3 linked regions of the Tribolium castaneum genome follow. The protein of the gene in region 1 interacts with the protein of each later gene in a pairwise test. Links are inferred from orthologs where the notes say so. Each region holds a gene or a part of one and is shown in the gene's direction. Other genes may lie near its edges.

What was found.
Region 2: the proteins of polymerase delta-interacting protein 3 (region 1) and e(r) interact in a two-hybrid assay, tested with the Homo sapiens proteins (2 studies listed by BioGRID, with this or other methods). The link is inferred for Tribolium castaneum from reciprocal best matches to the Homo sapiens genes POLDIP3 and ERH.
Region 3: the proteins of polymerase delta-interacting protein 3 (region 1) and exosome complex component RRP43 interact in a two-hybrid assay, tested with the Homo sapiens proteins (2 studies listed by BioGRID). The link is inferred for Tribolium castaneum from reciprocal best matches to the Homo sapiens genes POLDIP3 and EXOSC8.

The regions. Positions count from the first base shown.
Region 1 is NC_087395.1:18,065,018-18,076,748, forward strand, and holds polymerase delta-interacting protein 3, read left to right. Parts: upstream 1-4,809; 5' UTR 4,810-4,963; coding exon 4,964-4,983; intron 4,984-5,032; coding exon 5,033-5,650; intron 5,651-5,692; coding exon 5,693-5,957; intron 5,958-6,006; coding exon 6,007-6,221; intron 6,222-7,728; coding exon of another isoform or gene 7,729-7,783; exon of another isoform or gene 7,784-7,786; intron 7,787-7,839; exon of another isoform or gene 7,840-7,867; intron 7,868-7,948; coding exon 7,949-8,045; 3' UTR 8,046-8,170; downstream 8,171-11,731. Other genes in the region: peroxisomal acyl-coenzyme A oxidase 3, read left to right, coding at 368-766; glyoxalase domain-containing protein 4, read right to left, coding at 899-1,341, 1,393-1,649, 4,381-4,526; Cen (cerebellar degeneration-related protein 2-like), read right to left, coding at 8,502-9,629, 10,425-10,563. UniProt on the Homo sapiens protein: Is involved in regulation of translation. Is preferentially associated with CBC-bound spliced mRNA-protein complexes during the pioneer round of mRNA translation. Contributes to enhanced translational efficiency of spliced over nonspliced mRNAs.
Region 2 is NC_087401.1:15,471,435-15,481,348, reverse strand, and holds e(r) (enhancer of rudimentary homolog), read left to right. Parts: upstream 1-4,057; 5' UTR 4,058-4,195; coding exon 4,196-4,198; intron 4,199-4,248; coding exon 4,249-4,434; intron 4,435-4,479; coding exon 4,480-4,602; 3' UTR 4,603-4,677; downstream 4,678-9,914. Other genes in the region: Usp2 (ubiquitin carboxyl-terminal hydrolase 2), read right to left, coding at 1-476, 2,376-2,563; BORCS5 (BLOC-1-related complex subunit 5), read right to left, coding at 3,072-3,628, 3,675-3,906; NADH-cytochrome b5 reductase-like, read right to left, coding at 4,678-5,547; RpS3A (small ribosomal subunit protein eS1), read left to right, coding at 5,661-5,722, 5,848-6,071, 6,237-6,439, 6,624-6,938; Had1 (lambda-crystallin), read right to left, coding at 6,989-7,520, 7,565-7,936, 7,982-8,010; Pgk (phosphoglycerate kinase), read left to right, coding at 8,928-9,064, 9,112-9,315, 9,362-9,409, 9,455-9,914. UniProt on the Homo sapiens protein: May have a role in the cell cycle.
Region 3 is NC_087402.1:7,978,000-7,988,487, forward strand, and holds exosome complex component RRP43, read left to right. Parts: upstream 1-5,638; 5' UTR 5,639-5,766; coding exon 5,767-5,783; intron 5,784-5,836; coding exon 5,837-6,011; intron 6,012-6,055; coding exon 6,056-6,350; intron 6,351-6,396; coding exon 6,397-6,517; intron 6,518-6,564; coding exon 6,565-6,772; 3' UTR 6,773-6,842; downstream 6,843-10,488. Other genes in the region: CycA (G2/mitotic-specific cyclin-A), read right to left, coding at 1,709-2,216, 2,264-2,487, 4,651-5,085, 5,141-5,287; uncharacterized protein Spt20, read right to left, coding at 8,266-8,417, 8,595-8,780. UniProt on the Homo sapiens protein: Non-catalytic component of the RNA exosome complex which has 3'->5' exoribonuclease activity and participates in a multitude of cellular RNA processing and degradation events.

The DNA.
Region 1 (11,731 bases):
CAGCTTCCTAACGAACCGGTTATGTGACATTGTTTTCTTTTTATAACAAATTATAAAAGTTGCATACCGAACACATTACGAAGATTTTCTGAACTAATTTGTCATAACATAAAAACTAAAAGAAATGTCGATTAACTTTATTCTTAAAAAATGACCACACTTTTAACGCGCTTGATTATGTATACTAACTACTGTTTTCGTAAATATACGATATGATCTCAAATTAATTCCCAATGTGTACGCAGATTCGAAAATATTTAGTAGTCGTGCACAAAACATAGTATTCTACTCGCATATACTGGCTTTTATTACATAATAATGGCCAATATTATGGTCGCTATTCAGTAACCGAAATTCTAAATTTTAGCACTTCTTCTTGCAACGAATGTTGGTCGTTATCAACCAAGCAACGGACGCTGACAACAAAAGAGTTCTCTCGAAATTATTCTCCTTGTACGGGCTGTGGACCCTGGAGAAATATTTGGCAACTTTGTACGAAGGGGGCTACACCCAGGGCCCCAAAGCCACTCATTTGATCCACGAAGGCATCTTAACACTCTGCCACGACATTAAAGACGACGCAGTGTCTCTAATTGACGCTATCGCGCCCCCCGATTTCATCCTGAATTCGGTGTTGGGGGCCTCGGACGGCCGCGTTTACCAGAGGCTACAATCGGCGATCTTCCGCTCGCCCCACGCCATGAGCAGGCCGAAGTGGTGGCGGGAGCTCGTCCATTGGAACGCCGATTTAAAGAATAAATTGTGATAAGTTGGGTTGTTGGTTTTTATGTTGGTTGGAACTTTATATATTTTATTTTTGTAACAATATATGAAAGAATAAATACTTTGTGTTGAATAATATCACCTTTCCACCCTTTGAATTAATAATCCAGGTTATTTACGATTTATCTCTTGCGATGTACCGATCGAGTAGCTTATCACCATCGGGGTCAACCTGCGACAGTTGACTGAACCCCTCCTCATCCACGAAGCAGATTTCGTGTCCGTCAGGGTCGCATAAAATAATGACCCGGACTGTGGCCTTTCCAGGCGTGTCCAGCGAGATCAGAGGCTTGAAAATTGTATGTTTGTGCTCCTCGATTTTCTTGGCGATTTTCGGCTGCTCTGCCGCCAGGCAGGAAAAGGCGATACGTCCGTACGCTTTAGCTCTCTCGACCGGGCCGCCAATCTCCTCCAGCTCCAGCTTGGCCTCGCTCTCTTTGAAGCCCAGCAGGACGGTCTTATCCGTGCGCCCGAATATCTTCAAGCCCAGGACACCGTTCCAGTAGTTGATGGATTTGGTCAAATTGGAACAAGACAAAGTTACTTTCACTACTGGATCTGCAAGGAAATTTTAGACAAGTCAGTCGTTTGGGGGCGCTTAGTACGCACCACGATCGGTGGGTTGGGGTTCGTCGATTATGTGGAATTTGTAACCGCCTGGCGCTTCCAGGATGTTTCCGGCTAAGATGGGCCAGTTGTTCTCTTTGGCGCGCTGCAGGGCCTCTTTGCTGCGGATTGTGATGCCACGGAAGTCGTTGCCCTTCTCGTAGGACTTTACGCCGTAGTTGTAGGTCAGTTCCATGGCGAAATGGGTCGATTCGGGACCGTAACCGACCATGGTCTTGCTCCACCGGTTTGCGTAAGGACTGGAATGAAGATAAAGTAATTAAGGATAATTGGCGCAATAAAATGATTGCTTCCACGAGAGGCTCATTTAGATAATGTGATGTTGGTACTCGTAATTGTTACATTCCACAAAACTGAAATTATATTACGTTGGGTTGATGATTACTTTTACTCGGTGAGTATTTGTAATGATTAAGTAGGTAGTAATTCGTTTTGTTAACACTGGCTGGAAAAACACAAATTTGACCGAAATTTATGTTATTTTCGCTTATACGCATTGAACCAAAGGTATCGCACAAAATTCATATCTCTGTTATTTGTCATTTAAAACAGGTCGATTTAATTTTGTTAAATGCTACATTTTCACTTTATAGTACTATTTGTGATACCATTCGTTTTGAGTCGTGACTTCATTTTTAATTTTTTTTAATGACAACAGACATTTTTGTTCACTGTTTCAGACAGTACACATCATTATCTTCCTGGCAATGAGAAAAAAAAATAAATAAATTTAAGAAAATAAAAAATTATGACAATTAAACATAATGGCCTTTATCTTTTTGTTTCTGATTTATTTTTCAAGTGGCAATTGTTTTTTATAATTTTTTTGTATGAAATATGACACCTAGACAAAAAAACAATCATCTGTTGTTATAAAATAAAGCAAGAACGAAAAGATAAAGATCTTTGTGTAATACTCTCTGTAACTTTTACAGCTTTCTTATTTAATTTAATTCACTTTTTGAATTGTTTTGCTTTATTTTTTAATTTTTTTTATACTTACCAGAAAAATAAAAATGTGTACACTAAAATGATGTATCAAAATGTAGCATTAAACACAATACAGGCTGCTTAAAAACTGACGCACCGACTCAGTGGTATGTTGTTGAGAACTATGTGTAGATTACAAGAAAATCTTGAAAAAAGTCATATTTAAAAAAATCTGGAGCTACAAATTTATTTCCTTAACTTCTTTAGTTTTCATTATTTTATGTTTTTGTGTTTTACACTAAGTAATCGTTCCCTAACAAAACAATTAATAATTATTTTTAAATTTCCTATCAGGTTTAGCAGTTTTTTGAACTAAAAAAAATAAAATTCATAAAAAAAATCACGGTTTGTGGATGTGTCAAGACTGGAAATTATTTCCTAGGAAACCGTTTCAAAAATAATTTATTTTTATTTTCGATCAAATTCTATTGCGATCATAACATATTATTTATTTAAAATTCTTTCTTTATCAATAACTTTAATACAAATAATTTGTTGCTATTTTTACTTTTATATGCAAGCAGTTCTCTACCACACTCCATTGAGTTGGTGCGCCAGTTTTTGAGCACCCAGTTCAAGGATTTTTTTCTAAACAAAGATATGTGTGTTACACTTTTGGTTTACTCTGTATTTTCAAGCACACGTGGTTGAAGTTATATTCTCACTTTCTTGTGAGAAGCAAAATTACACCGAAAATTGTCTGCTCTGCGTTTTTAAAATTTTTAAACACGTTATGAGATAAAACAATTTTTTTTATAAAAATTTCGCTAAAAGTAGGTAAAAATAAGATGATTCAACTAACTTTTAACCAGAGTTTCATTTATTGTAAAAGAACTTTTTACGGCAACAAATTTTGGTTAAAAGTAATGTTATTTTTGCCTTTCTTGAGCAAATATCAGCTGTTTCAAAACTATAGAAATGCCAATGTCGCATTTTAACGAATTATTTTTTTAAATAAGTTTGATAAAAATGTAAAATAGTTATTAATTTTTCATTGGAACTATAAATTACATTAGGTATTAACTTTTTGAAATGCATGAATAATTTATAACGACTATTTTTTAGAGAAAATAGTTTTGAAACAGCTAATAAGCAATATTAAGAGCGAAAATCCTAGTTTTTTCCCGAGTTTTTTTCTAGAAGCGATTGAAAACTCGTCAACTTAAATACAAAACATTCTTATTAATCCCTTTTTTGAGCAAATATTTCAGCCAGACAGGCAGCTTTTTCGCAAAATTTCGTTAAAAGCAGACCGAAAAGTCGCCAATTATATTAAAATTGGTGTTATTTTAGGCTCTTCGAGTCTTGTTGAGGTAACAACTAATTTTTTTCGAAAAATTTAGCTAAAACTGAATGAGAAATCACTGAATTAGACCATCTTACCAAAAGAACTTGCCAAAACACACCTAAAAATCACTAACTAAATAGAAATTAACTATTTAGGTTTTCTCTTCGAAATAGTTCATAAAATAAGCGAAAAACAACATTTGGTCGAAAAATTATGTCCTGTTTTTGTTTAAGTTAGTTTTGGTTTAAGTTTAGTACACCACGTACTACCAAACCGAAAAATGAACTAAATTAGGCCTAAATAAACTACAATTTTTGGTTTTTGTAAGTAGTTAATAAACTCCCTCAAAAAACTTCTCTATTAATTGATTGTACCTAGCCTATTTTAGTCAATTTAGTTCGTTTTTGAACTTGAAGTTCATTCATTTTGAAAACGCGCCTCAAAATCACGAAAATATTAAATGAGACTGATTTTACTTTGCCTGGTTCACTCGATTTTGTTTGGTCTTGAGCGAAATTTCAAGAATAAGCTAAAAAAGACTTATTCCTACTGTTAGCAAGTTTCCAAATACGTTTTTGAGTTTCTTGCGTAAAGAACACTTTCTAGGAAGGGGGGAACACAAGTAAAACTTGTATACAATTTTTTAAATTGTTTCAGCAATTATTTAACGGGGGGAATCTTTGGTAACTTACCCATTACATACAGCCTCACACCCGTCCGCAAATTCCTCATGTCTCAGGACTTTCATGCCCAAAATTTCGCGATAAAATATCGCAGTTTGCTTCCGGTCTGGGACTTTGAAGACATAGTGCAGAGCCCTACCTGTGATGAAAGCCATTACGTAAACTTCACTAACAATTTAGAATGACTCGCGAAAAACTTAAAGCTTGTTATTATCTAAATCTTGTGATTGTTGTCATCCTTCACGAAATAATTGATTTGTGTAAACATCAAGGTTATTTACACGTCATTTGGTGTATACTTGGTGGCCTATATTTCCGAAATTTGTGATTTTAAAAATAAATTGGGAAGCTTAAATTGTAACCAAAATATTCATATAAGCCAAAAAAACACGTTTTATAACTCTTTTAATTTTGAAAGTTTTATATTTGAAAAAAGCGGTCGGTCCCAGAAGGCGCCAGCGTCGGTCCTCCATCTTGTCTCTGTCATTTGTCATTTGTAAACGAAAATTGTGCGTTTTCTCGTATTATTTGTATGTGAAATCCAGCTAAATCAGCAAAAACATTCGGAGTTTTTCCACAGTTAGTTGTAATAATGGCAAAACGCCCGATCCGGTGAGTCCCCAACGCCTCCACTCCCCATCACTGATTGCCCCAATTCCAGCAACAACAAACCAAACCTCCAAACAAAAAAGGCACAAAACGCCCGAAAGGCCAACATCGTGAAAAAACGCGTCTTCACCAAGCCACAAGTGCAAGATGCGCGCCAGAAACTCATCCAGCGAAAGCTCAGCACCGTGAAAGACGCCCGGGACGTTTTGGCCAAAATCGCCAAAGGCCAGGACGCCCGTAACAAGCTCAACAAACTGCGCCAAAAACGGAGCGCCACCGCCAATGGCAACATCAAAGTGATTGGGCAAAACATCGTCCAGAAAATCGACAAAAACGGCAAAATCAGCCTCGTGACAAACAAGAGCAAGTCGTCGACCGGCATAAACGCCACGATACAAAAAGAGTTGGGCCTGGTCACCTCGCCCAAGAAGGCGGTCGTGCGCAGGGCCCTCGCGGCGTCCCGGGTGCCCCCGACCGTGCACACAGCCGTCTTGAACGAAATCGACTCTTACAACCAAATGCTGGTGCGAACTTACGACCCCTCCTTGTACAAGTGGTCCAAGCCGGGCATGCGGACCACCGCGTCGCAGTTGATCGGGTCGCTGGAGGGGCGCGTCCGTGGGGCCAAGGGCGAAGTCTTCCAAGGGTGGCAAAATTTCCCCATTAACAAGTAACAAGTCCTTTAACTGGTCGTTTCGTAACGTAATTTTAGGCCCCTTAGGTCGCCTCACGGGTTTATCGATCTTGACGCCGTCGACGATGAGGAAATGCCGATGGCTCCCATCGCCCCAATTAAGCAGACGATAACCTTGCAGGGCTCCTCGAGAATCTCGAATATTCACTCGCGGCTTGATAGCCCCATCGAGCAAGACACGCACGGGATTTTCGGACAGCCTAAGACCAAAGTTGTCGTGCCGGCGGGACATAGAATAGTAGTGTCTAATTTGCAGTCCACGGTTACGCAGGATGATGTTAAAGTATGTCGGTTGTGAGGTTTGGAGAGAATTTAATTTCTGGGGTTGGCAGGAATTGTTTGAAGATATTGGGCAGTTGTTGGCCGCTAGATTGGTACGTCCGGGAGTCGCTGAGGTGATTTATAAGAATTTAAAGGACGCGCAGAAGGCCGTGGATACTTATCATAATAGGCAGTTGGATGGGCAACCAATGAAATGTCTTTTGGTTAATAAGAGACCTTTGAATAATCCAACAGCCCCCGCGTTGACAAAAATGGAGAGTCAAGGGTAAGTGATTTATAGCAAAATTACCAATTTTTGTTTTAACTCTGATTTTTATTTTTTTTCGACCAGAAATTTAAAATACCTTATTATTTTCTACCATTTCTAAAAGCCAACATTATTTACTTTATTTATTTGTTTTAATTTATTTGCCAATGAAAACGATAGCTGACCCGTAATTTTGCGTTAGTCTATTATTTTTCGAAAGAAAGATCAAAAATAATCTCTAAGATACACATGAGAGTTCGAAAAGTTGGAAAATTATTTCCAAAACATGGTTGGTATAATTTAATTTCCACTTGAGTCTAAATTTTCAATTTAATCTCACTCTTTTGTGACGTTACAGTTTTTTTATTAGGGGCTGTAACAGTTGAACAAATTTAGAACCTGCCCTTTGAACTTGTTTCTGCATTGCAATGAGATATTCTTACTCTTTGCTTTTGAACTTTGATTTAGACTACTTAGAGAATCTATTATGTCCTTTATCAAGGCTTTTGGTGAAAGTTTGATATCAAAAATCACTTGCTTGGGCGTTGATAAGTAAACAAAAAGCACTAAAAAATTAGACGCTCTTTTTTCTAGTTTTTAGTTCTGCTAATGTTCCTTTTTAAGTTTTCGCTTCTCGGAAACTCTTATTCTCAGCGAGAGAGCATTTTTGAGTTTTTGTGATTAGCATTAGCTGTAGTATTCGTTTTTTTTTTTTTGTAATTAGTCTTGTGTCTTGCATACCTTACAATAGCCTCGGAGTCCTGGCTATTAATAAATAGTTTGTTTAAATTCATTCTTTTTCTATTTCCGCAACTCTATTCACAACAATTAACAGATTGATCTTTTCGCAATAGTTTCAGAATAGAATTTATTTGTAACATAATAACATAAACTAGCATATTAAAAATTTATCTACAAAATTCAGGAATTTCAAATCTAATATCTACAAGGTGGTTGTATACAAGTTGACTAGTAGAATTTATAATTTTGCAATATGTAAAGTAAAATGCTTTTGGCATTTTGTAATTTTGATTAATTTTAGGAAAATGAAGTTTTACAGTTTGCAGTCAAATTTTAATTCGTACAAAGCAAATGCCAACTTAATTCGAATTATTTTAATCTTGAATCCTGTAAACCAATTTGTTTATAAATAAAAAGTAGGCCTTTTTAGTCCTTCAGGATTTTTTAACCAACTCTGATCTTTACACCTGCTGAAAAGTGCAAAAGTAAAGGAGAATTTCACCTGTTTAACGGAATTTTAACCGAAAGTTTTGATTTTTTATTATAAATTTGTAAAATGTGTATTTGTTGCTATATTCTTTGGTTGTGGATTTCATTTGAGTTATGAGATTACTGAGCTGAGCATTTGGAGCTGTTTGCCGTTTTGTTTTTGGCTATTTTTCCTGAATGTGTGAACTTGATAAGTGTAATGTGCAATTCGGGAAGATTTATCAAAATTTACCAAATTTCGGAAACGTCCTTGTCAGGGCATGGATTTGTTTTTGACTGTTTTTCCTTGTTTTAGGTTCTTTGGACGTAATGTTACTAAAAAGCCTAGCTTCGCACTTTTCGTTAATTAAAATGTATTTCAAACAAATTTCTTTTTGACTGTATTTTTTATTATTGTTGTTTTTAGGAACTGTTTTAATTTTGTGTTGCCTAAGGTAAATATTCAACTTATGTTTAACTGTTTCTTTCAGTTTGTGTTAAGCAAATTTGTCACTTAATGAAGATTTCTGTTTCAGATTGTTAAATACTATAGAAGTTTCTGGTTCGTCGAATTCAAATAAGTTAGTACCGGATTTATCCACAATCCACAAAGTATTATTTCAACGGAAATAGCTTGCGTGTTTTTTTTTTGTATTGTCATTCAAGAATTATTGTTCTCTTAATATGTGTAAATTATATTTATAATTTTTGTTTTTTTCCTTATCCATGGGTAATAAATGATAAGTAATAGGACTTGATTGATGGTTTTTATTTCAAATATAGTAATATAATCACAAATGTAGATGATTCCGTTCCTATTTATGAGTAAAAAGCTACGCCTATCTCCGAAACCTATAAGTAACTTGGAATGTAAACTTCCGTTATTTAAATTAGGTGCTACTAGATACATTGTTGTGATTATATATGTATAATTTTAAAATTTTATGATTGGCACAAAAAGTTTGCTCTCGGACAAACCACACGTAAAATACTGAAACAGACGCATCAAAATTAAAAAGTTACATGACATACATAAATGAATATTTACAAATAATAGCATAAGCAAAACCAATATACACATCGATCCAATTATTTCCTCCTTTGCCTGGCGACTTGTTTCTTACTATCAGCCTTCCTAACGACTTCCGCATACGACAGATCCAATTTTTTCAACTTGTGCAACTCCTGCGAGGCCAAACTCGGCCGAAACTCGAACTTTCCGCTGCCTTGGCTCGGCGTCGGCGAGGCAATGTTGCGATTGGACGACCAGAACTGAATAGTATTGCCGTTCCAAGTGGCGTCATTCTCTGGCACATTTTTAAAATCACGTCGCTTGCGTCCCGACGAAGGCCGACTCGAATAACTGATTTTCGGACTTCCGATAATATGAGTAACCGGCGAGTCGGACCTTTCGGCGAACTTGTTCTTGCGACGGCTCGACGACCGCTTTCGGACTTCCACCGACAGGTACTCTAAAGGCTGACGCACCAGCGGCTTCAGCACCCGCTCGGGCTTCTCTTGGACTTCGGCGTCGGGGATCGGCTGATTCTGCGCCTGGATGATGTTCTCGATGATCGTAGTTGGCTCGTTCTGCGACATCGACAGTTCGGACATGGTCGACGAAACGACGCTTTGCGAGTCGTCGTCGAGTTCCGTGATTTGCGACTCGTCCTCTGGAAGCGCTCGCGGGGGAGTTTTATCCTCGATTTTGGGGATTTCGGTTTTGGTGTCGGCAGTTTTCTTCAGGACTGTGAAGATCTCCTTGAAGAGGTCCTGGTACTCCGGCTGGTTCTTAAACCGGCTGGAGATGGGGCTAGCGTCGTTGTAGATGCTAAACCTGTCTTCACCATCGGCGATCGTGCACAGGAAGGCACCTGGGCGGTCCTCCGTTTGGGTGTATTTGTTGCTCGTTTCGTCGGAGAAACCCGAACTGCTGGTCTCGGCTTCGGAGAAGTCGGTGGGCGTGTGCGAAATCGTCATCCTGGCTTTGGGATGGACTTGCTTGAGGCTGTCGAGACCGCTCTCCTCGTCCGTGTCCTTCGTGGTGGCCACGCTGAAGTCGCCCGACATTTGGAGCTCCTCCTGCAGCGAAACGCCGTTGTTTCGCTTGGATTGGCGGTGGGGCTGGCGGTGGACTTCGAGGAGAGCTTCGTATTTCTCGACCAAGTCTTTGTACAAATTGCCGGTTTCTTTGTCGGAAGGAGTCCGCACGTGCTCCTAGAAGCATAAGGAGGGTCACAAGTGGCATTGTTGTGCACATGCAGGAAGGAGAAGTGTGAATTAAAACACTCAAGCAACATACGATAAAATTTATTGCTTCAAACTTACAGTTACTTGGGCTTTACAAAGCTAGTTAAGTACATGCCGACTATGGCTGCTTTCATTATAGTCTATTTGTCGTTTGATTTTGGGCGGAAATGGCACCGGAAACGCGACCGAACTGGAAGTTCAGTTATAATACTGTCAAAATTTGGGGAAGAACAGGCGGAAGACTATAATGAAATTAGAGACGAAGTAGTACAGTAGTTATGGATTTGAATAAAACACCAATGAGAGTGTGAGTGGTTGGAAGAGAGACTGTCACCGGATGAACCTCAACGACGAACTGATAAAAAATAACCGTACATACCTTCAGTGTATCTTATTGTGTCTGAGACAATAGTGTATGAGGATAAAGGGGATTTTGAACGGTTTGCAGAGGAACGGAATCAAATAAAAGTCTCGAATATAGACGCAAAAGTCAATAAGTAAGGATAAAATTGTTGCAGTAGGCGAAATCCATACAACGGACATCTCCCTACGGAGTATATCCTTCAATTCGTTTTCGCCCTGTGAAACAAACACAGCAACTAAAACATGCACCATTCATAAACGGAAAGAAATAAGATGGAGAGCATTCATAACATTTGCTTTATTCAAAAATTATAAACACTCAGTCACAACCAACACCGACTAGAGAAAGCATTGCGACAGGGAGAGAAAGCCGAGCGCCCTAACTATTTCAGGCCTCACCTGTACATCCAACGAGAAGGAAGAGCGGTGGTGTTGGGGCGAGTTCATGAGGTTGTCCAGGATGCTGGAATCGTCGTCCTCGGCCACGTCGCTGCCGCGGTCGATGTTGCGGAGGCAGCGGCTGCACATCTGGCCCTTCCTGCAACAAAACGAGTAAATAATCATTCCATCGAATTTAGAAATGAAGTATGAAATTACTCTCTCGTCGCTAGAACTACGTTGCAATATTTTTTCATGCAATTCATTAATGTGTGTTTTTAATGATAAAATGCTTATATCCCATTTCAGTTCATAGTAGAATTTTGCAACAGCGCATTTGAATTTTTTTGAGTGAAATGGAGCACAAATTCTGAGTTTTTGGTGGAATTTCTTAGCTCAAACGTGTCGCTGGGATTTTGTTTAACACAGAATTTTTTTCTTTTCCAGAAACTCAATTTGTAATTTATTTTTCACCCCGAAAAATTCAAATGCGCTGTTGCAATTCTCCTCTAACTGAAATGAGGTATAGGTATTGTATTTTTATTTTTTTTTAATTGACATTCATTAATTTTGGTCACAATCAGTGTCCATAATTATGAATACCGCGTCTGGGTTTTTGTAAAATATTCCAATTTCACCAATACCTAACTTTTTTTTTATAGGTATAAACTTCTTTTTGCATTTAAAAAAGACAGTGAAGCAACAAAGCATCTTATTAGTTTATAAACTTCCCAGTAAAGAATTTGTAATTGCAAGGTTATTGAAATTGAGGAGTAACTATAATGTTCCATTTTTTATTTTAAAACATTTATAGTCTTAATAATTGTAAAATTAACTGTACTTTTCTTTTCCTAATATAGTAGAAAGAAAAAAAGTAAGTTGAGATCTCCAACATAACTCTTCAATTCTGATTTTCAAGGGCTTTCAGCGCCGAACGGACGGTCTTTTTAATATAAACTAAGAGTACTGCCAGCAATCGTTTAGTCAATGATTTTTTGTGAGGAGTAATTAATGACAAATAAATAATGTTATTTGACAATATGTAGGTAAATCACTTACTTCCACAAAATCAGATTCCGTTTGTTCATAATCTTCGTCTTTATAATTATTAATGTAATCGTAAAAATATGTATAAAAATTCTAATAATAAGGAAAACCTAATTCTTTATACATTACTATTTTTATAACAAAAATCGCTACAAGTATCTACTTTTTTCAATTTTTTCATGTCCTACCCTAATTCCACCGTTACCAATTATGTTTTGTAAATTTGCTCTAAATAATTTCATTTGTAATTAAAAACAGTGCAGCGGGATAACACAGTATTT
Region 2 (9,914 bases), on another chromosome or scaffold:
AATCGGCCACCGAGGCCCGATTCCCATTATCGTCCTCTTCCACTTTGGTCATGTTGTTGTCGTTGTTAGTAGGTGTGTTAGAATTGGACAACACGCTGTTATTGTAATTCAAACTGTCATTAATTACCTTCTTTTTGGCGAGTTTTGTTGTTTCAATCGGCGGTAAGCCGATGTCGTTTATGGATTTCGAACGTGAGATGTTCTCGTTATTGCGTTCGCGAAGACATGCAGGAACGTAGTTGGCCGGTGAGTATTTGTTGCGAAGTTCGGCGACCGAATCGAGAACGTTGATCGAGGATAAACGGGGGCTGTCCCGGGACAGGGAACTGTCACGACGGCCGAAATCAACGATTGAATTTTCGCGAATTGAACTTATGCCCGAATCGCGCGAGAGGGATTCGCGACGGGCGATGCTCGATTCACGGCCTTCTTCGCGGAAACGGCTGGTTATGCCGTCTTCGGTTATGCTGCCAGACCTGCAAAAAATCCGGTGAAGTACAGGGTTTTGGCAAAGAAAAAAACTATTTCCCTGACTATTTTGAGCTATAAATTGTCCGTAAATTGTTAAATTTCAAAGAAGTTTTTCAAATAAAAGACTCAAAAGTTGTTTATGTAATTATCATCAGTTTTTTTTTCTAATTTAAAATTTCGTAATTGATACCTGTTAGGCAGCTGCAAAAATATTATATTAAATTGTAAAAAAATAAAATTCAAATGAAGATAATTTAATTTTATTAAAATCATAATAAAATCACCAAAAATCATAAAATTTCGTTTAATTATTAATTTCATTTCTATTTTTAATTTTATAGAAATTATAATATGCTTCCTTAACTTTAATTATAATTAAAATAAAAAAATAAAAATATAAAATAAGAGTAGAAAAATTCAAGAGAAAAAAAATCAGTATTTTTTTGTAGCAAATTCCCAGCAAATTCAAAGATTCATCTGTAAAAAAAATTAATAACAATCAATAGTTCATTAATTTTTAAGAATTTTTGTAATGTTTAAAATTAAATATCTTTCAATCAATTAGCAAAAAACACTTAACTGTTATTGTTTTTATAGATAAAAAAAATTAAAGATGTATTATGACAACAAAATTTTTAAAAATATATAAATACTTACTTAAAAAAATGTATTATAAAATTAAGAATAAATGAAATAACTGCCAGCCTCGGCTACGCCTTGGTTAGTTAATAAATATTTATTGTTACAATTTTTTATTCAAAATTTAAATAAAAATTATAGACTAACAAGTTCTTTAGACTACTTTTTTATTTTTATATAAACACCAAAATAAATTTAACTCAAAATTAAAAGAGAAAAATTACAAGTAACCGAAACTTATTTTTAAATATTTTGATTGTTCAAGACAATTACAAAAAAAAAACAAACGTTTAGAATTATTTACATACAAATTAAAGTTAATTTATTAAAATACAAACAAATAGTGTTTTATATCCATGAAAATTTTAAAAAATCTTGCTATTGTTGTTTTTTTAATAACAAATATCGCATAATATTGCCCTTTCGTAATAAGAAATATCTACAATAAATTTGCAATCGATCGAAGTGGCTTGAGACTTTGAAACTGAATTGGCAACAGTAATAAAAGTTTTAAAAACTGACATATCTTCCGAATAACTTGAAAGTCACTATGACCGAAAAAAACGAAAAACTTTTTTGAAAAAATCAAATAAAAATTCTTGGACAAAAAATAAAAAACAAAAGCCTAAAAACAGTTTTATTTATATGAAAAAAATATTTAGACTTTAGCTATGACGTTACTAAAAACCTTATCTTAAAGCAAATCTGACCACAAAAATAAATTGACTTATCAGTAATTAAAATAAAAAAGCGTAATTTTACTCAATTTATTTAGTTTTTTATTGGGTGATTCCAAAATCAAGTTGGCAAGATTCAAAAACACGTGCCAATCAAAATTACCAACTTAGCCTACTTTGATTAATAGGAGGCACGGTATTTCAACCAATTTATTCTTTTCATGTGAAACAGTCTAGACATCTACGGAAAAATTGTTTACGTTGGCACCACTTGGTCTAAAACAATCGACAGACGATTCAACACCTCCCACATTTTTTTAATAGGTCAATCGAGAACATATTCACTTTTTTTTCAACCCACACTCGACTTTCCTTGCATGTTTGCCGAAATTTTAATACTAAAAATAATTATAAAAATAGGAAATAATTATTACGATCAATAATCAACTGGTTATTGAACCCGAACAGGAAAATAAATTATTGAAAAAACGATAACAAATTACGTGACAGGCAAAAAGTGAACACGTAATTATCTCATACGAAAAGTTCCTCATTTTTGGTGTTTTCCGTGTCATAACTGCGCCTAACCTCGAAAAAATCCTCCTTCCGTCCGAGTCCGAGTAGGTCCTGGTGGTGTACCTCTCGCTGAAGGTGGTGATCCGGGGGCTGTAATTGGCCCCAAAGTAGGGCCTGTCAATGGTCGAGGAACTGAACGTGGACCTGTAGGAGCCCGTCAGTGCCGAAGCACTGCTCTGTCTCGGCGATAAAACGGGCATTTTCGTTGTCTTATCACCCCCTTATCACTCAATCGCTCATTTAACCTGAAACGAGAGTACCAAGTCGGTGAGTGCTCACCTAAATTTGCACCGCACCTAAAATAACTCAAAATTTCGAAAATATGCCGAGTGTAAAATAAAAAAGTCATTAGCTTATTTTTAGACCTTAGCTCGTGTGTGGTCCAAGGGGGGCGAAGTCCTGGGGCTGCGTCCGCACCAAAACACGCACACGGGCACTGTGATAGCCCCACTGTTGCAAATTTACCGAAATGTATCAAATTTTTGCTAAAAAATTAAAAAACTGAATGAGTCCATTTTGGGTGGCGGCCATCTTGCGATGACGTCAGCGACTTGAGTCATGCGACCTTGGCAAGGACCAATAAATGGGGGCCCGGGGCCCCTTGTCTCAATCGATCGTTTATTCAATTAACAGTTACAAGAAAAATGTACAATAATAATAATAATAGGTTATGTTGAGATCAAAGTGTCAGCTGTCATTCGGAAACTATCATCCAGTTGTCCAAACGAAGGGCTCCAGTCGGTCCTCAATATCGAGGTGATTGTTCAAGGTTTCCATCGATTCCAGCGTCTGGTTTAGCAACATATGGCAGCGGTTGAGCTGATGAGACAGCTCCTGGACTTTGGACAACTTCTCTGCATATTTTGCAAACCGTTTCTGTCTTTCCCCCAAACCGTTGATAATCCTGGCGATTTCCCCGTCAGTCTCCCGCACTTTCTGGGTCAACTGGTTCTGTTCTGTGGCTATCAAGTTGGCACAAGCCGTCAAATGCGTCTGATACTTCACGCAAAGTTTGTGCAAGGGGGCTGGGTCCAGACGCTCCAGCACTTCGGGGTCACGCGCCGCCGGCAGATTCAGCGTGGCCCTCATTATGGGCAGGAACATGGGAATGCTCTGAAGCCGCACAATATCGGGGTCTTTGTCCACATTGGGGCCCACGCTGGCCGGCTTGACCACCACGATACTATGAGCCGATTTTTTCGGCTGCTTTTGCGCGATTTTACGCTTGGGTTTGACGATCTGTTTGTTGGTCAGCTTGGGCGAGTCTAGGGGGCACACTCTAGTCAAAAATATTTCAAATAGTTGGGGTACCTCCAATCGGCCGATTGACCGTGTAACTGATGTAGGGCAAGTCCGTGTCGCTGCAAACACTAGGCCCGGGGGAGATCGACCCCGGACGGCCGTTCTCCCCACCTTCGGGGGGCTCAGCCCCGCCGGGGTTCGCGATGGTGTGCTGGCGCCGGATGTTGGGGGGCTGCTTCGGGGGGTGGGTTAGACTGCCCCCGTGACCGCCGTGCAAATGGGTGGAGTGTTCCGACCCCATTTCAATCAATTTTAATCAAAAGGGAGGTTATGTCACGCGTTAGGGACTTTGGTTACGCAACAGTGACAAAAAAATAATTACGTGACCCACGTAAAATTATTATTAATTGATGATTAATCAAAAATTGTCACTAACTGACGATTTGAGTAGTTAACAAGTCAATCATTGGCGTAATTAAGCCCCAAATGTGGTCTTCCTAGTTTGGGTTGGCACCGCTTGTCACTAGCCTAACCTTAAAAACGGTCTGTTTTCATGCGTTAAACGCCTGATTTTGAGTGTTTTTTGCGTTATGGTGAGTCAGGTCTGGCTATGGGGGCCCCCTTAAACATTTTTGTGTTGTAGGCACACACTATTTTGCTCGTCCAGCCGGGGGCTAACCCCGAGACTCGCACCTACTCAGATTACGAGTCGGTGAATGAGTGTATGGAAGGTGTTTGTAAAATATACGAGGAGCATTTAAAGCGCCGGAACCCCAATACTCCCACAATCACCTACGATATTTCCCAGTTGTTTGATTTTGTCGATCAGGTATTTGTGCTAATTGTTGCAATTTTTCGTAAAAGTGGCTTTCAGTTGTCCGATCTGAGTTGCTTGGTGTACCAGAAATCGACAAACACCTACGCCCCCTATAATAAGGACTGGATAAAGGAGAAAATCTATATCTTGCTGAGGCAAGCAGCAGGACATGCAGACTAAGGGAAAAACTAAACTAGAATCTTACTTTAAGTTTTACTTAACGTTTTCTTTAATTATAAATGTATTAAACCTAGGTTAAAACACGTAAACATGACTGCTTTCAATTCCTAACCGGTCTATTATTTCTTTAATTTCCCGCCCAAATGTTTCACTCCCGCTTATCATGACTTGAACTTGACCCAACTTTCCTTGGACGTAATTTTCTAAATCACAGAAAGACATTTTTTTATTATGAATAGTCTCGTGGTACTTTGCCACGTTTTGATCACAGTTATTGCAAAAAACCTCGTAATTAAAATTCCAAAACGACCCCAACTCATATAATTCGTCCCTCAGTAAAATATCGTCACAATTCCGGACACAAAAAAATAATTTAACAAAACTTTCACACTCTTCATTGTGCACAACAATATCACGGATTAGGGCGTATAAGGGGGCTATTCCGGTCCCCTGAGCGATAAAAACCAAAAACTTGTGCGCATAATCGGGGGCAAACTCGCCGTAAGGCCCCCGCCAGGACGTTTCGCCCCCCACTTGCATTGTTTTGAACAGTTGGGACATCCGTCCCGTGTCGTATAACCTGACCAGGACCGTAAACTCCAAACTTGCATTTTGGGGCACCGGAATGGGGGTGTAGGCCCTTGTGAATTCACCTTGGGGGTCCCGCCCCCTTAACAAGAAATACTGTCCCGGCTTGTAGTCCAAACAATTCGGTTGTCTCTCCCTACAATCGGCGTATTTAAACGTGTAAAAAAACACACTTTCGTTGATTTTTTTCCGTCCAGTTAGCACAAAAACTGTGTAAGAAGTGGGGTTAAGTGCATTGACAGCGCCACTTTTTTCTCGCCCTAGTTTTTGGTATTTCCTCAACTGGGCCTCGTACACGTCCAAAATGCACGGATTGCAACCCGAATTGCAACAATCAGCCTCGTCTGGGGGCTCCATAGCCTCAAAAACCGGGCGCTAGCGCGCATGCGCGTGCCATTTCTCTGGTAATTGTTAGTAATTTTCGCGCGGTGGTTGTGGTACCGCAACCTCTTCTCGTGTGGCGGTTCAAGATGGCAGTTGGTAAAAATAAGGGGCTGTCCAAAGGCGGCAAAAAGGGCGTTAAGAAGAAGATGTAAGTCAAAAATTTGTACTAAATTGTGTGCCCCGGTGCTGTCTAGGCGTCCCGCCGGTGAAAACCGGGCGAAAATCGGCCGGATGGGTGGGAAAAAGTGTGATAACGTGGGGTTGTTTTTGTAGTGTGGACCCGTTCACCCGCAAAGACTGGTACGATGTTAAGGCCCCCTCGATGTTTGCCACCAGGCAGGTGGGCAAGACGCTGGTGAACCGTACGCAGGGTACGAAAATCGCGTCCGAGGGGCTCAAGGGGCGCGTGTTTGAGGTGTCTTTGGCCGACTTGCAGAATGATAATGATGCTGAGCGGTCGTTCAGGAAGTTCAGGCTCATTGCCGAGGATGTTCAAGGTGCGTAGCGTTCATTATTTAAAAAACTGTTCCAGGTGGCTTTACATGATGTGAACACCCAGCTCGCATTGAATTAAAACTGTTGAGAATTTTGAAGTCTGACCCAATTTTACCCTTCTTTGGGGGGCTTGATGTGTTACAGTGTTTCAAATTTGGCGGTTTCAGGTCGCAACGTCCTGACCAACTTCCACGGCATGGACTTGACCACCGATAAGTTGCGTTCAATGGTCAAAAAGTGGCAAACTTTGATTGAAGCCTCAGCTGATGTCAAAACCACCGATGGTTATTTGTTGCGTGTTTTCTGCATCGGCTTCACCAATAAGGACCAGTTGTCGCAACGTAAAACTTGTTACGCCCAACATACCCAGGTAATCACTCGTGTGGTTGAACTATTATTTAAAATTGGCGCCGTTTTGTGATGAGACACTCAGCTCGCATTGATTCAAACGTGATGAGAATTCATGTTCCCTATTAAAATCAAAGTCTGATTGTAATTTTCTTGAAAAAGTGGGGGCAAGCTGTGGCAATTGTTGATCGATTGTTTGCCGTCAGGTCCGTGGCATTCGCAAGAAGATGGTGGAAATCATCACCCGGGACATCACCGGGAGTGACCTCAAGGAAGTCGTAAATAAACTACTTCCGGATTCGATCGCGAAAGACATTGAAAAGGCCTGCCAGGGGATTTACCCACTTCATGACGTGTACATTCGTAAAGTGAAAGTCTTGAAGAAGCCGCGTTTTGAGCTTTCCAAGCTTTTGGAATTGCACGGGGATGGGGGCAAAGGGGGGTCGGGTGAGCCCGGGGAAGCGGGTGCTAAAGTGGACAGACCCGAAGGATATGAACCACCAGTCCAAGAGTCTGTTTAATTTAATTGTTTATAAGAAAAAACAAAAAATAAACGTTTGAATACGACGTGCTATATTGATTTTTTCAATTGGCTCAGTTTGGTCAGAGCCAAGTCCCGCCAATTCCTGCGTTCCTGTAACTTATCCAACGGGACCGAATTCTCCAACTGTTTGGCGATTTCCTGCACAAGGGGGCCCTCCCACTTTTGCAACGGTTTAAAGTCCTTGCTGACTGAATAAATCGTGTTTGAATATTTCTTGCAATAGTCGACGAAGCCCTCGGCGTTAAGGTGAGTGGTTTCAAGGGGGCCCAGAAAGGCGTAGCGCATGCCGAGCCCGTCGGACATGACCTTGTCGATGTCTTTGACATCGAGGACTCCGTCGGAGACAAGGTTCCACGTTTCGTTCAAAAGGGCGTACTGTAGGCGATTTACAACAAAACCGGGGACTTCCTTAGTCAGTGAGACGGGAGTTTGCCCGATTTCCTCCATAATAGCGCGCGTTTTTTTGGTGACTGCGGGGTCAGTCCAGGGCGCTGGCACGATCTCGACCAAGGGCACGTAATACGGGGGGTTCACCGGGTGCGACACCACGATGTTTTTCCTACAAGTCGCAATTAAATTACAGAAATTGTTGTGCCAAATTACTTGTTTTTGAGATGGTCGGAGAATAGCGAAGGGAGGAAGGTTGATGTCGAGCTTGAGAAAATCGTGTTAGGGCCGCTGACGTCGTCCACGTTTTTCCACACTTTTCGCTTCAGTTCCAGGTTTTCGGGGACGCATTCTTGGACCAAAACGGCGTCTTTTACGGCCTCCGTTAGACTGTTGGTCCCTTTAATGCAGGCAAATTGCTGGCTTGAGTTCAATTTCCCGCGTAAAAGCCCGCTTTTTTCCAAGTTTTTGAGCTGTTGCTCGATGTCGGCTAACGCCGATTCGATCTGTTTGGGCTCAATGTCGTAGATGACGACCTGGTAGCCCACATTGGCGAACAGCATGGCCCACGAGCGGCCGATAAGGCCGCTGGAATTTCTGTTTGATTTTTTTCGTTTTGTTAGTGACCCTCACCTGCCCACAATTCCGATTTTTCGCGACATTTTGCGTGAAAATCACTGGCACGATTGTGGAAAATCTGGTCGCTGTCTCTTATTTATGTAATTATCGCGAGATTACGGTATTTACTGTGCTCTAGAGTTCCGATTAACCGCAAGGTCAGAGTGAATAAAAGTCATGTTATGGAAATGGTTTTTGTGTGAGCGGTCCGTTATCTCTGAAGTAATTATTTTGTTATGTATTGCCGAAGTTTGAAGGTTTAATTTGGGTCGTGGCGACCGCAATTTACTACAGTCTGACTGTTTTTTGGGTAAATGCGTCACAAATTTCTAATTAAAAATCTAACAGGCCTTAGCGATTGACTCAAGAGCCTGAAAAGCAATTAAATGATAAGACAAACGTTGATAACATTCATGTGTTAATTTAATGTTTTAATAACATTCTGTCCTATGTTTGATAACAATAATTGTATAAAAAGGTTTTGGATCATGTAATCATTATGCAATACTTACAATGGGCAAAGATAATTATTAAATGAAAAATTTTTGACTTGTTTAGACACAATGTTTGTTTAATAATCAGATTTAGCAACTTTTTTTGATTAAAATAATGCGGAAAAACACAATTTTGCAAAATTGGGCAAACAAAAGGTCAATGACACCGCAACTCACGATTTTCGGTTTTGTGCACACTCAACCGAATTGCACTTCAGTCAAATAAACACTTGTCAAACAATCGGGACATACCAGCGGTCCCAAAACCGTAACCACAATAAACAAATCAAATTGTATTACGTTTTTTACGCCAAAAAATAATAATAATTTGGACACTGGTAACGCATCACTATTGTCACAAGTGTCATTTGGTCACTTTTTGGCAATTTAAAAACGAAGTTTGATTAAATCAACCGGCAACCACAGTTTGACAGTCTCTGGAATTAGTGACCTCTATCTGACATTGAATGGCAAAAGCAGATTCCCCCCAAGATTTGCTCGATTTGTGTGCCCGTGCCGGTTGTCCCTGTACCGCCCCCGAAATGGCTTTAAACAAACTATCAATTGATGCTTTACAACTCGCCAACAAACGCGTCCTTATGAGGTAAACCCCCCAATTTTCGGCGCACCCTCTAGTTCAATAAACCTTAGGGTTGACTTCAACGTCCCCTTAAAGGACGGCAAGATCACCAACAACCAGCGCATCGTCGCCGCCCTCGACACCATCAAATACGCCCTTGACAAGAACGCCAAAAGCGTCGTCCTCATGTCGCACTTGGGCCGCCCTGACGGCAGCCCCAACCCCAAATACACCCTCAAGCCGGTGGCCGCCGAGCTCAAAACCCTCCTCAACAGGTGAGGTACCCCGCCCTTGCCCCCGCCCCCAACCCATCTGTTCCAGACTCGTCACAGCTAACTCATGTGGCGATTCTCCCAAATTCCCCAAAAGGTTAATACGCCCCGCCCTAACCCCGCCCTAATTTCTCATTCGCAGAGACGTCACGTTCCTCACCGACTGCGTCGGCCCCGACGTCGAGAAGGCGTGCGCTGACCCCGCCCCCGGCTCACTCATCCTATTGGAAAACTTGCGTTTCCACGTCGAGGAGGAGGGCAAAGGGGTGGACGCCTCTGGCAAGAAAATCAAAGCTGACCCCGCCCAAGTCACCGCCTTCCGGCAAAGTCTGCGCAAATTGGGCGACGTTTACGTCAATGACGCCTTCGGGACCGCCCACCGCGCCCACTCCTCCATGATGGGGGAGGGGTTTGAGCAGCGCGCCGCCGGCTTCCTCCTCAAAAAGGAGTTACAATATTTCGCAAAGGCGTTGGACAAGCCCGAAAAACCGTTCCTTGCGATTTTGGGCGGGGCTAAAGTTGCCGATAAAATCAAACTCATCGAAAATCTACTGGATAAGGTCCAGGAAATGATCATAGGGGGCGGGATGAGTTACACCTTC
Region 3 (10,488 bases), on another chromosome or scaffold:
GTGATTTATTCATAAATAGGTTTATTTTATTATTGGAATTTTCAACTTGTGCAGTATTCCTCCAAGCAAACATTTTTATCAATGGTCCGCGATTTTTCAAAGCGTTTGATTACGAGAATTTATGAATGAAGTTCTTAGATAGTCGTCGTAAGAATGAGTCTGTAATTTACGGTTCGCTTAACATGATCATGAATAAAAATCGCTAAATTCTAATGACAGTTAATTTCAAATTATTTAAATTCACTTGAGCGTAAACGTGCTTGTTATAATGTTACAGATATTACTCGCTTCCATTCAACAAGAATTGGATGGCATCTCAGCAGTTCCTTCCTGTAAACAAATTTATTCGGTGCACATGTGAAAAAATAGCCAATTTATTTAAATCGATTTCTGATTGAATTATTGTGGTTGGGTACAACCGCGTAATATTCAACAATAAGCTCACAAAAACGCCAACGATTCGTTAAGCTTCTCCACTCGACAAATAAACCAATTTATCGTTTCTTAATCGATTTGCTAATGCGTCCAACCAACTAATTAAGCGCTAATTAGTTATGTAACTGTTTCATTCAATACTAAATGATTGGCTTAACGTGATTACACAAAAATTAGCTGAAACAGTTTTAAATTTAACGCTGAAATTTCCACATCCAGCCACCTAGCGGCGAGTAGCGATGGTAAGAGCTTCAGAAAACCTCCACAAGACTGCAGCTTTTGCCTCAATTTGTGCATGCAACCTTATTACCAACTGTCCTTATTTTTTTAAAGCACAGATCAGTAGTGATCAGAATCAGTTTCTTGTTTAAACTATTCTTACCTCTTTGCGAAATACCAAAATAAAAACTCAATAAGATATCAATCACCAATTTTTTATGTTAATTATTTTAAGTTAGGTCGTAATGATGGTACGAGCTGTATATGAGTGTCTTAATTAAATCATTAAATGCGAGCGGCATACACTATTATACTTTTTCTACGATCCGTCTCGTTATACAGGGTGAGTCACTTGTAAGTTTGCCTGAAATTCTATAAATATGCAACCAATAATACTGATTTTAGCTGACCAGATCGATTATTTAATTAAATCAAGTCAAACTTGTATCCTAATGAATTTCATGGAAGTGGAAAAAAAGGGCAGATATTACTCAAAAAAGAAAGTAAATTTTTATATTGCGTCACTCCGTGAACTAGTTTTTTCAGAAAATAAATAATAGCTTGAGCACAAAACACTGGTTCCATACTTTTCACCTGATGGTATGTGAAAATTAGCAATAGGAAAGTAGGGAATGGAAATGGTGTTAAAAATGACGCGTCGGTTGTAGTTCCACAATTTATTGCGTATAGAAAAATATCAAAAATTGTTATTGACAATTTCGTCCATTTTGTTATAAAGGAATGGCAGCAATTCGTTTGTTTGATTCTTAACTACTTATAACAAATAAATAAACTGTACAATGTTTAGGAAACAAGGTAGTTTCAACGAGAGTATAAATTCAAAATACGTAAATCCAAATAAAATAACACATAAAAGACAGTAAATAAAACCATGCAAACTAAAATAATATTGATGGTCGACAGTACACATGAATGGGACACCACAGCACAGCTTACTATAAATTATTACCATCTAATTAATAAATCTAATAATAAAAACTAGACCAGAAAAAAAAACGCAAGGCCTTTGTTCCCTACGAAGTAGAGCAGTCTTTTAATCGAACGAAATCATCTCACCGCTGGGACTAATCTTAGAAACTTGCATATACTTTGGCGCCTTGTACTTGTCCCGAATGGCGTGTTGTGGATTAGATGGCGCTTTGGCGAACATTTTATACAAGAATCCAATACAAGATTCTAATTTTTTCAAATTATATCCTGTGTATTTTTGCAAGTCGCCAGGCCACGCTTCTTCGCCCAAAGTGTGTCTGCTGAGAGCTATCGCCGACGACGCGACAACTGACGGCAAAAACTGTAAATACGGTTCGACCTCCAGAAGCGCCGATTCGCTTAAATACATCGCGAGATTCTTCACTTTTTCGGTTTGTTTTGTGGAAATGCAAATGGCGTTTAGGAAAGTAAGTGGTGTGGGCACCGACAAATCGAAGCCCAACACCCTCAGAATTAACTGTTCCATTCTAATCATTTGGTGTTTGTCGTAAGTGTCGTCAGTGATGTACACGAATTCGCTGACTTCTGGTGGAAAAATTTCCTCGTATTTACTGAAAGGGCAAATTAAACGAGGATAGCGTTTGGGCGATCGACTTACGAAGCAATAAACATTGCAGCTGTACCCACAAGTTGCAATTTGGCCCTAACTACAGACATGTAACTTAAAAATCGGTCGATGAAATTTACGGCCAAATAAAGGGTTTCCGTTTGCATACCGTACTCTTCAGTAACTTCGACAAGCCAATCGATCAAAACAGCACGCATGTTTTCAGTTACGTCAGGCTGTTTCACGATGTAGCCGGGTTTTGGCCGATGTCGCAGCTGAAAACAATTAGTGGAGATTTGGAGGACCAATCACAGTTTATGCATTATGCTTAGTATCACTATCATATTTATTTCAAAATCATGAACTTTGACAGAGAAAGTGGGTTTCCGTATAAATTTTCAAGTTTAGACCGCAAAAATGGTTTAAATACGGTTTTCTAAGTTAAAATGCTCTATTTTCCTTTTTTGAAAAATAGTATATTACGTAAAGTGTAATCTGATCAAACCGTTTTGCTGTAGGACTTTTTATATTTCGAATTATGATTTTTTTTAATAAAAAATTTAAAATGTTTCTGTAAGCGAAGCCATTTTCCGGAGCGGTTTCGAGTTTTTACGAAAACATAGATAATTTAAAACGCATTCTTATTCTTACAGTGCGCACAAAAGTTATCGCAAGACATGATTTTTTTTATAATCATATTCATTGGAATTCGAATTATTGGAGTAACGTAATATTTTTTAAATAAGTCTCAGTTCTGCTTACACACATCCGACAGACGATTACCAGTTTACGAGAAAAACGAAAAAAATTATCCTTTTTTTCAGGCGCCAATTAGGCGAAACTATTGAAACAGACGTCAAAAGCTCTACAAACTGGCGTGGGTTTCAAAGCGATAACTCCAAAAAAAATCAATTGTGAAACGCTAGTTACGGTGAAATTAAAAGAGTTACGAAAAAAATCCTATTCCATCGTAAATTACGACAAAACTAATAAAATATAGGTTTAGTAAAGTAATCCGGAGAATCGTTTGCTGTAGAGAAAACTGTCAAATTCTTCATAGTTTTCAAGTTAACAACATATAATTTTTACCTAATTTTGCTTCTTTAGCAATTTTCTCGGAAACTATTAGATGAAATAGGTAGAAAAATGACATTATCATTTTAAAAAACGATAGATAACACGGGCGAACATAGTTTTTAGTGTTTACAATATTGTTGTCAGTTTTTACCAATTTAATTTACTGCTATGACGACATAGCAATAATTTTTACTTATTTCAAAAAATTAAATAAAACCACTCGGTTTTTGCGCTTTTACCTCTCGTGAGAGACATGTTAATTACAACATTACTGTTGGTCCATAAAATGTGATCTCCCAGAAGCAATCCATAAAAAAAACACCCATACGATTTTTTTTAAACGCGAGAGGTATCACATCTAATATTTGAAATTTTTAACTCAATAATTCACTATTAAAAATTTATAATAAACTTTTTTTTATTTGTAAATGTGGTAGAAAAGAAAACAGTGGGTACTACAGAAATCAGAATACAGGAAACATAAAAAACATCTTTGGCTTGTGATAGTTAAAAAAGCTTTCCAAAAATAACAAACTTGATGGGGTAAAGTCTAACAGTTCCTAAATTATTGGCCGATAAATGCTCCAGAAATCGAACTAAATCTCAAAAAAAATCAGTTTTCAAACACGGATACGGTGAAACTGAAAGACCAGAAAAAAGTCTTATTCCATCGTAAAGATAAGATTAAGATTTATCAAACAGAATGTTCAGTAATTTTTCATTTTTTATTTACTCAATTACAGCAAAAGTATTCGAAAAATGGAACCACTTTGATACTCCAATGTAATATAATCCGAAGAATAGATTGACGTCGAGAAAACGGCCAAACTTGTAACAGTTTTGAAGTTATCTACAGAAATAATTTCTTTCTATTTTTGCATTTAGTAGCAATTTCTTCAGTCGCAGATAGAAAATAAAAAAAGCTTTTCAACGATCAATCTTAATAAGGTCGTGGAAAACAGTTCCGGAGTTATTGCCCGATAAATGCTCCGGGTATCGAAATCAACCAAAATTTTCGCAAAAATTGATAAATCTGATTTTATAAAACCGGTTCAATTGACGCTTTTGGCACATCTAAAGGCTCTAGAGAAAAGTCCACAAAAGATAGTTTTCAAGTTATAGGTAAAAATCGTAAATTGAAGTGTTCTCATGTTTTTAACATATCACAACGTAGAGTATGGAATATAATATACGAAATTAAAGCCATAATGAAATTTCCCGCCCCGAAAGTATTTCAAAAAAAGTCAAAGTTGTTAATAAAAAGGGCTTCAATCTGTTTTTTTTTTTTTAATTGAGAATAAATGTCAATGGATGTAAAAAAACTTGGAATAATTTTCTCGTCGTTCTTGAAGATACTTTACCTCATGTTCTTTGAGATAAGCAAAAATGCTATCCCTATACTCCTCCATTTCAAAAAAGACATCTCTAGCATTGGTATTTGTGGAAACCGTTTGCTCTTTGAGCTCAATGTTCTCCACATCTGATTTCTCAATGCTCATCGGAATCTCCGATTTTCTCTTAAGTTGAGGCGCAGTAATTTCCTTCAATTTCTCCAAATTCTTTTTCCTTTCAATTTCGGCAAGTTCTGTCTTCGTGATAAACCTGTCCTCGGCCGTCCCTTTATACACATTACTCTTACTGATAAGTTTGAGCCTTTCATCGATTCTCGCTCTGTATTCATCATCCTCATACACAGTAAACGCCTCAAACTGGGCCACCGGAACCACGACATTCTTCTTATTCTCGTTTTTTTGCCCATTTTCCACCCGGTTTCCCAAAACGGTTGGCTTCTTCGTCTGGCAAAAAAGCAAACGTTTTTCCCATCCAAAGTTACCTCCAACTGTTAATTACCTGTTTTCCTTTAAGGGCTGCGTTATTAACTTTATTACTGTCAATCTCGCCCAGAACGCCCCGTTTTTGCTGGGCAGTCGTTCCCGGTTTTCGGCGCAATTCCGGCACCCGGTTTTCCTGGTCCTGGTGAATTCTTATCGATGCCATTCCTCTAACACACGTGCAAGTTTCTAATACCCGAAAAACGAAAAGTTTGCTGAACCGAAGGCCAAACTGAACCCCAACTTAAACACCCAAGCTACCCCTAACCGACAAAACGACTGTTTTTAACGGCCAGATGCAAAGAGCGCAGAGTGCGGGAAACGAACAGCTGAGAGACCGTTGAAATGACAAACGGGACCAATGGGAGCCCAGATTTAAGCAACGTCACACGAGTGGGGATAACATGTTTTGAAGGGTTTAACGGAATTTTGCACTAAATCAAAAATCAATCGACAATACTTGTTCCCAACCAAATGCCCTATTTGCAAGCAAATGTCTTCATTACAAAAATTGCATTATTCAACCGAATTTACTCGTTTCAAATCAAACGTTTCCCCCACCGTTGTCGGCAACCAATCAAAACTAACGTCATTAATAATGTCAATTGTCAAAAACGAAAAACGTGGTTATAAACAAATTCAATAATGTCAGAACAATACAAGTAATAATTGTAGTACTGTGAATAAATAACAAGGTGATTATCCTATGTTTTAGGATTTTGCACCCCGTCAAGTACTTCCGCGACCACTTGGCCCACAAAATCCGACCTGATGGGCGCGAATTTGGGGAATATCGCCCCATCGTGGTCAATTTGGGCTCAATTTCGACAGCCGATGGGTCTGCGATTGCCAAAGTTGGTCGCACGACGGTAGTTTGCGGCATTAAAGCGGTGAGTGTAATTGGAGGCATTCAATTTGCTAAACCAAACCTTAGGAGTTGTGTCAGCCCAAGGCTGAGGCTGCAAACGAGGGGTTTTTGATCCCCAATGTGGAATTACCACCGTTGTGTTCGTCAAAATTTCGGCCAGGACCCCCAACTGAACAAGCCCAAGTAGCGACCCAGTTAGTTGCCGATATTTTAAAAAACTCTGATTGTTTAGACTTAAAAACGTTATGTATATTTCCAGACAAATTAGCTTGGTGTTTATATGCTGATTTAATTTGTTTGGATTTGGATGGGGCGTTGATAGACGCGTGTGTTGTTGCGTTAATGGCAGCGCTTAAGTCAGGTAAAGACAATATTGTTTTTTTGTGAAAAATATAATTGCGCTTCAGTTACTTTGCCAGCGGTTCAGTACGATCCAGCCCTTGACAACAAGCAAGTGAATGTGCAAGAGAGGAAAGCTCTTAGTGTTACCAACACTCCAATAGCAACAACGTTTGCAATGTTTGATGAGTAAGCTTATCATTGTTGTTGTAAACTTTTTAATTTTTTGATTGTAGTAAAATTCTCATAGACCCAACAGTGGATGAGGAGGACTTAAGTACGTCTTTGGTGACAATTGTGGTGAAGGAAGAAGAGTTGTGTTTTGTTCACAAGCCAGGTGGCTGTGTTTTTACGGAAGAGCAACTTTTAAAGTGTGTGGAAGAAAGTACAAAACGTGCAACTGTGATTGAGGAAATTATAGAAACAGCTTTTAAAAGTTTATAATAAAAACATTTTTTTTTATAAATGTATATCCTATATTATTTAAATAAAAATTTTAACAGGTTCCACAGTAGGTTGTGTGATCATTTAACCGAATTTAAAATTAAATCACCACACATTTATAAAAAAATCTATTGTCTTTGTTACAGGATTGAAAAAATAAAAATCGGGAAAAATCAACACTTTACATTTTAACGAGTATACATATTGGTATTGCCAAATATTCAACACGTGTCTGAATTTATGTACAAAAAATACGAAACATTGCAAATAATATACATTATTACAAAATACTACAACTCACCACATAATCACATATGATACAAATGTAGAGACTAAGGATGTTAGATATTTTTACAAAGTATTTTACACATTTCGTTCAAAAGGGAAATAAGTCTACTGTATGTACAGTTAAAAGTTTGCGCCTAGGACAGGAATGGTAGTAGAAAAATACCAGGAACAATAAATAATAGGGGTTTTAATAAAAATTTGTATATTTTAACAATGTGTAATTTTACATCGTTGATGTTTTATAAAGTATAACATTTTGTCCTCGTTTATGCCTGATATCTTAATACTACAAATATTTTTTTGTTGATGATCCGATTTTAGAAGAATTAAAACAAATGTAACCAGAAAATGAAACATTACACAACCATTAATTGAGTATAAAAATAAAACTACTTAAAAACAATCATAAATTATGATAAAGTGGATACACCTAAAATTATTTACAAAAGAAAAAATATGTACACATCAAATGAATCTACTCACATTTCTTCCAACAATATTGCTAATGCACTTAGTGATAATCTTATTTCATTAATATGAATTCTCCGCGCTCATAAATAAATAACAAAAAGTATACATCTTCCCTATCATATGTACAGTAGATTAAATTAACTACAACTAAACGAAACTGCAAAAATGCACAAAATTGCTTATACCGTATTATACAGTATTGCGGCCTGCTACAAGAAAATCTCGCGATTTGTACTGTTTTAAATAAAACGGCAGTAAAAACAATAGGCCGTGTCCCTACCTAGAGAAAACTGAAAATAAACTGGTATAGGTCCACTTTTGGCACCATGTTTATTTCTAAATGTAGGAACGACAATTGTGCAATGTAATGCAGCAGATGAGATCAACAATATCTCTTTACTGTTTGCAAAAGTACCACCCAAGCGTTTGAAAAATCCAAACATTACAACCATTTCCCAGTACTATTTATTTTCTCGACCACGAAATAAATAATAATACTGGCTTTGATCACAGAAATAGTGGGAAGAACTCTACAGGTTTATAAATTAAGAATTAAACGAGTGTGATGTTTGAGTTTTACTGACGGCTTGAATGCATTCACAAAGACGACACTCTAATGCTCGGCAGTTTATTATTTGTTAGTGAAGTACTCAGCAAAAGTTAAAACGTATATATAAAAATAAAAACAAACAGGAGAGACTAGTTCGATAACACAATGTACAGAAAATACAATATTACTGTGGATCTGAAGTGTTTGATCGTCTTCGAAGTTTTCCCGCGACGCCCGCCACATTCTTCTGCTGTTGGTTCAGACAGAGCTGTTGATACTGTTGAAATTGAGCTTGCTTTTGCAGTTGACTTGTTATTGAAGCATTTGTAGCTGCATCTAAGAAAATTTACTCTCAAAAGTTTCAAAATGAATATCACAGATTTTACTTAAAAAATTACCAACAAAAAGCATGCATTAATTAATTGAATTAATCTATTAGGACTTCAACTCAATTGAATTTAATGGAAAATGATCATTTTCTATTGACATTTAACTGCAAATCGGTCAACTGACTTGAGTTCTGTGTTGCCATCTTGAGGGTTATTGGTGTTCTTTGGATGTTTTGCTGCATCCTGGGCCTCTGTAAAGGGGTCACTAGCTGATACGATTGCCCGCCCTGAGATAACGACACCGAAGCGGGGCCCTGGGCCCGGATACCCTGCTGGGTTAAACCCTTCACCCCAGACGTGACTAACTGGGCTGGATTTAAAGAAAACCACTTTACAAACACGAAGCAAAAATGAACACAAAGACAACCAGCGAAACCATTCAAAAAATCCTATTTTCTCCTCACAAACCAAAAAAAAGACCAAATTCACTAATTATGTGTGCTTTTGCAAGCGGTTAGAAACAAACAAAGAAATTAAATTTCTGCAATTTAATATTGGAAATCCATTATAAGCAGAGACGGGATTGTATTATACTGTAAAATATGCTAAAAAGGGCAGTAAAAATATAAAATAGGGCCATATAATAAGAATAGAAGGATAGGTCATAAAATCCTAGAGAAAATATTTTCCAACGTCGCATTTTCTCTCAAACTTAGTTCAAAAAATTAATGGCTAATGTAATTTATAGTTTCCGTGAGAAATCTTATTTATAAAAATTTGGTAAAATGCGACGTTAACATTTCCGTAGTTTTGAAACAGAGTAGGCAACTTTAAAGCTTTAACGCTTCAAAGACTCATTTTAAACCCATTTTATTGTCAGAATAACAGATTACGAATCAGGTAAATTAAAAAAAATGTGTACCAACTCTATTCTACCCGAAACGTATAATTTTTTTAATAATTTTGAAAATAAGTCACGTCTATGTTGCGCTTCTCAATAAAAAATATGAAAATCATGTTTTTACGATACTTAAAACAATTTTTAACGTAATAAATTGTTTCTGCCTAAACTGACTTGTTAGATCTCTATCTTATCCTTCACTCGAAAGCCATTTCTTTGACTCTATTTAAGGTTGAAGACAAATAGTCTGTGATAAAGCATGATTTATTGTTGTCTTGCTTAAATAATATTTTAACCACATCTTTAAAGTTGCGTTTTGTTCAAACGCAGGCTAAAAATTTCAGTGTTTAATGAATCTATGGTGTAGATGATTGCGGAAAATAATAATGTAAAACAATTTCACCAAAAAATAGCTTTATTTTGGAGTAAAAAATCGAAAATTTTTTAAAATGAAACGGCTAATTATAAAAATTTATGATTTTTTTTACTCTAAAATAAAGCTAGTTTATTGAGAAATTGTTTTACATTATTATTCTTCACAATCATCTACACCATAAATAACAATAAACATTGAAACTTTTAGCCTGCACTTGAAGAAAAGGCAATTCAAAGAGTGAATTTCAAACCAGTGTATTTTTACCACAATCTCTACAAGGCTCTGAACTCAGAATTCGCCAATTTTGAGACATCTTGTTTGTATACAAAAGTTGTAACAAATGTTGATTTAAATTCGAATTAAATTCAACATCGTATGTTTGACCTGTGATTAGAGTTTGGTTTTTGTTTACATTCGAATAATTCGATGTTATGATGTTACGAATGACAATAATATGCTGCCCTTCTAGAATGGAATTGTTGCGAAATGTTTTTTTTTTAAGGAAATGGATACGATAATGATTAATGAATCAGTCCAAGTCTAGCTTCCACACGGTTAGGTAGTTGATTAATAATTTTTAAAATTACTTAAACAAATCTGTTGAAAGGCGAGATTTGTGTTTGATTCCAACACATAAAATTTTGTAATTTTGTGATAAAATTCATGTGCGTTCGTGAATATTGTGCTAGTGTCGTCGATATAAACAATTGTTATTGGTGAGTTATTGAAAATTTTGCTATCTGGTTCTTTAAAAAATAAAATTAAAAAGACGAAATTATTTGTTTCGTCCGAAATTGAATT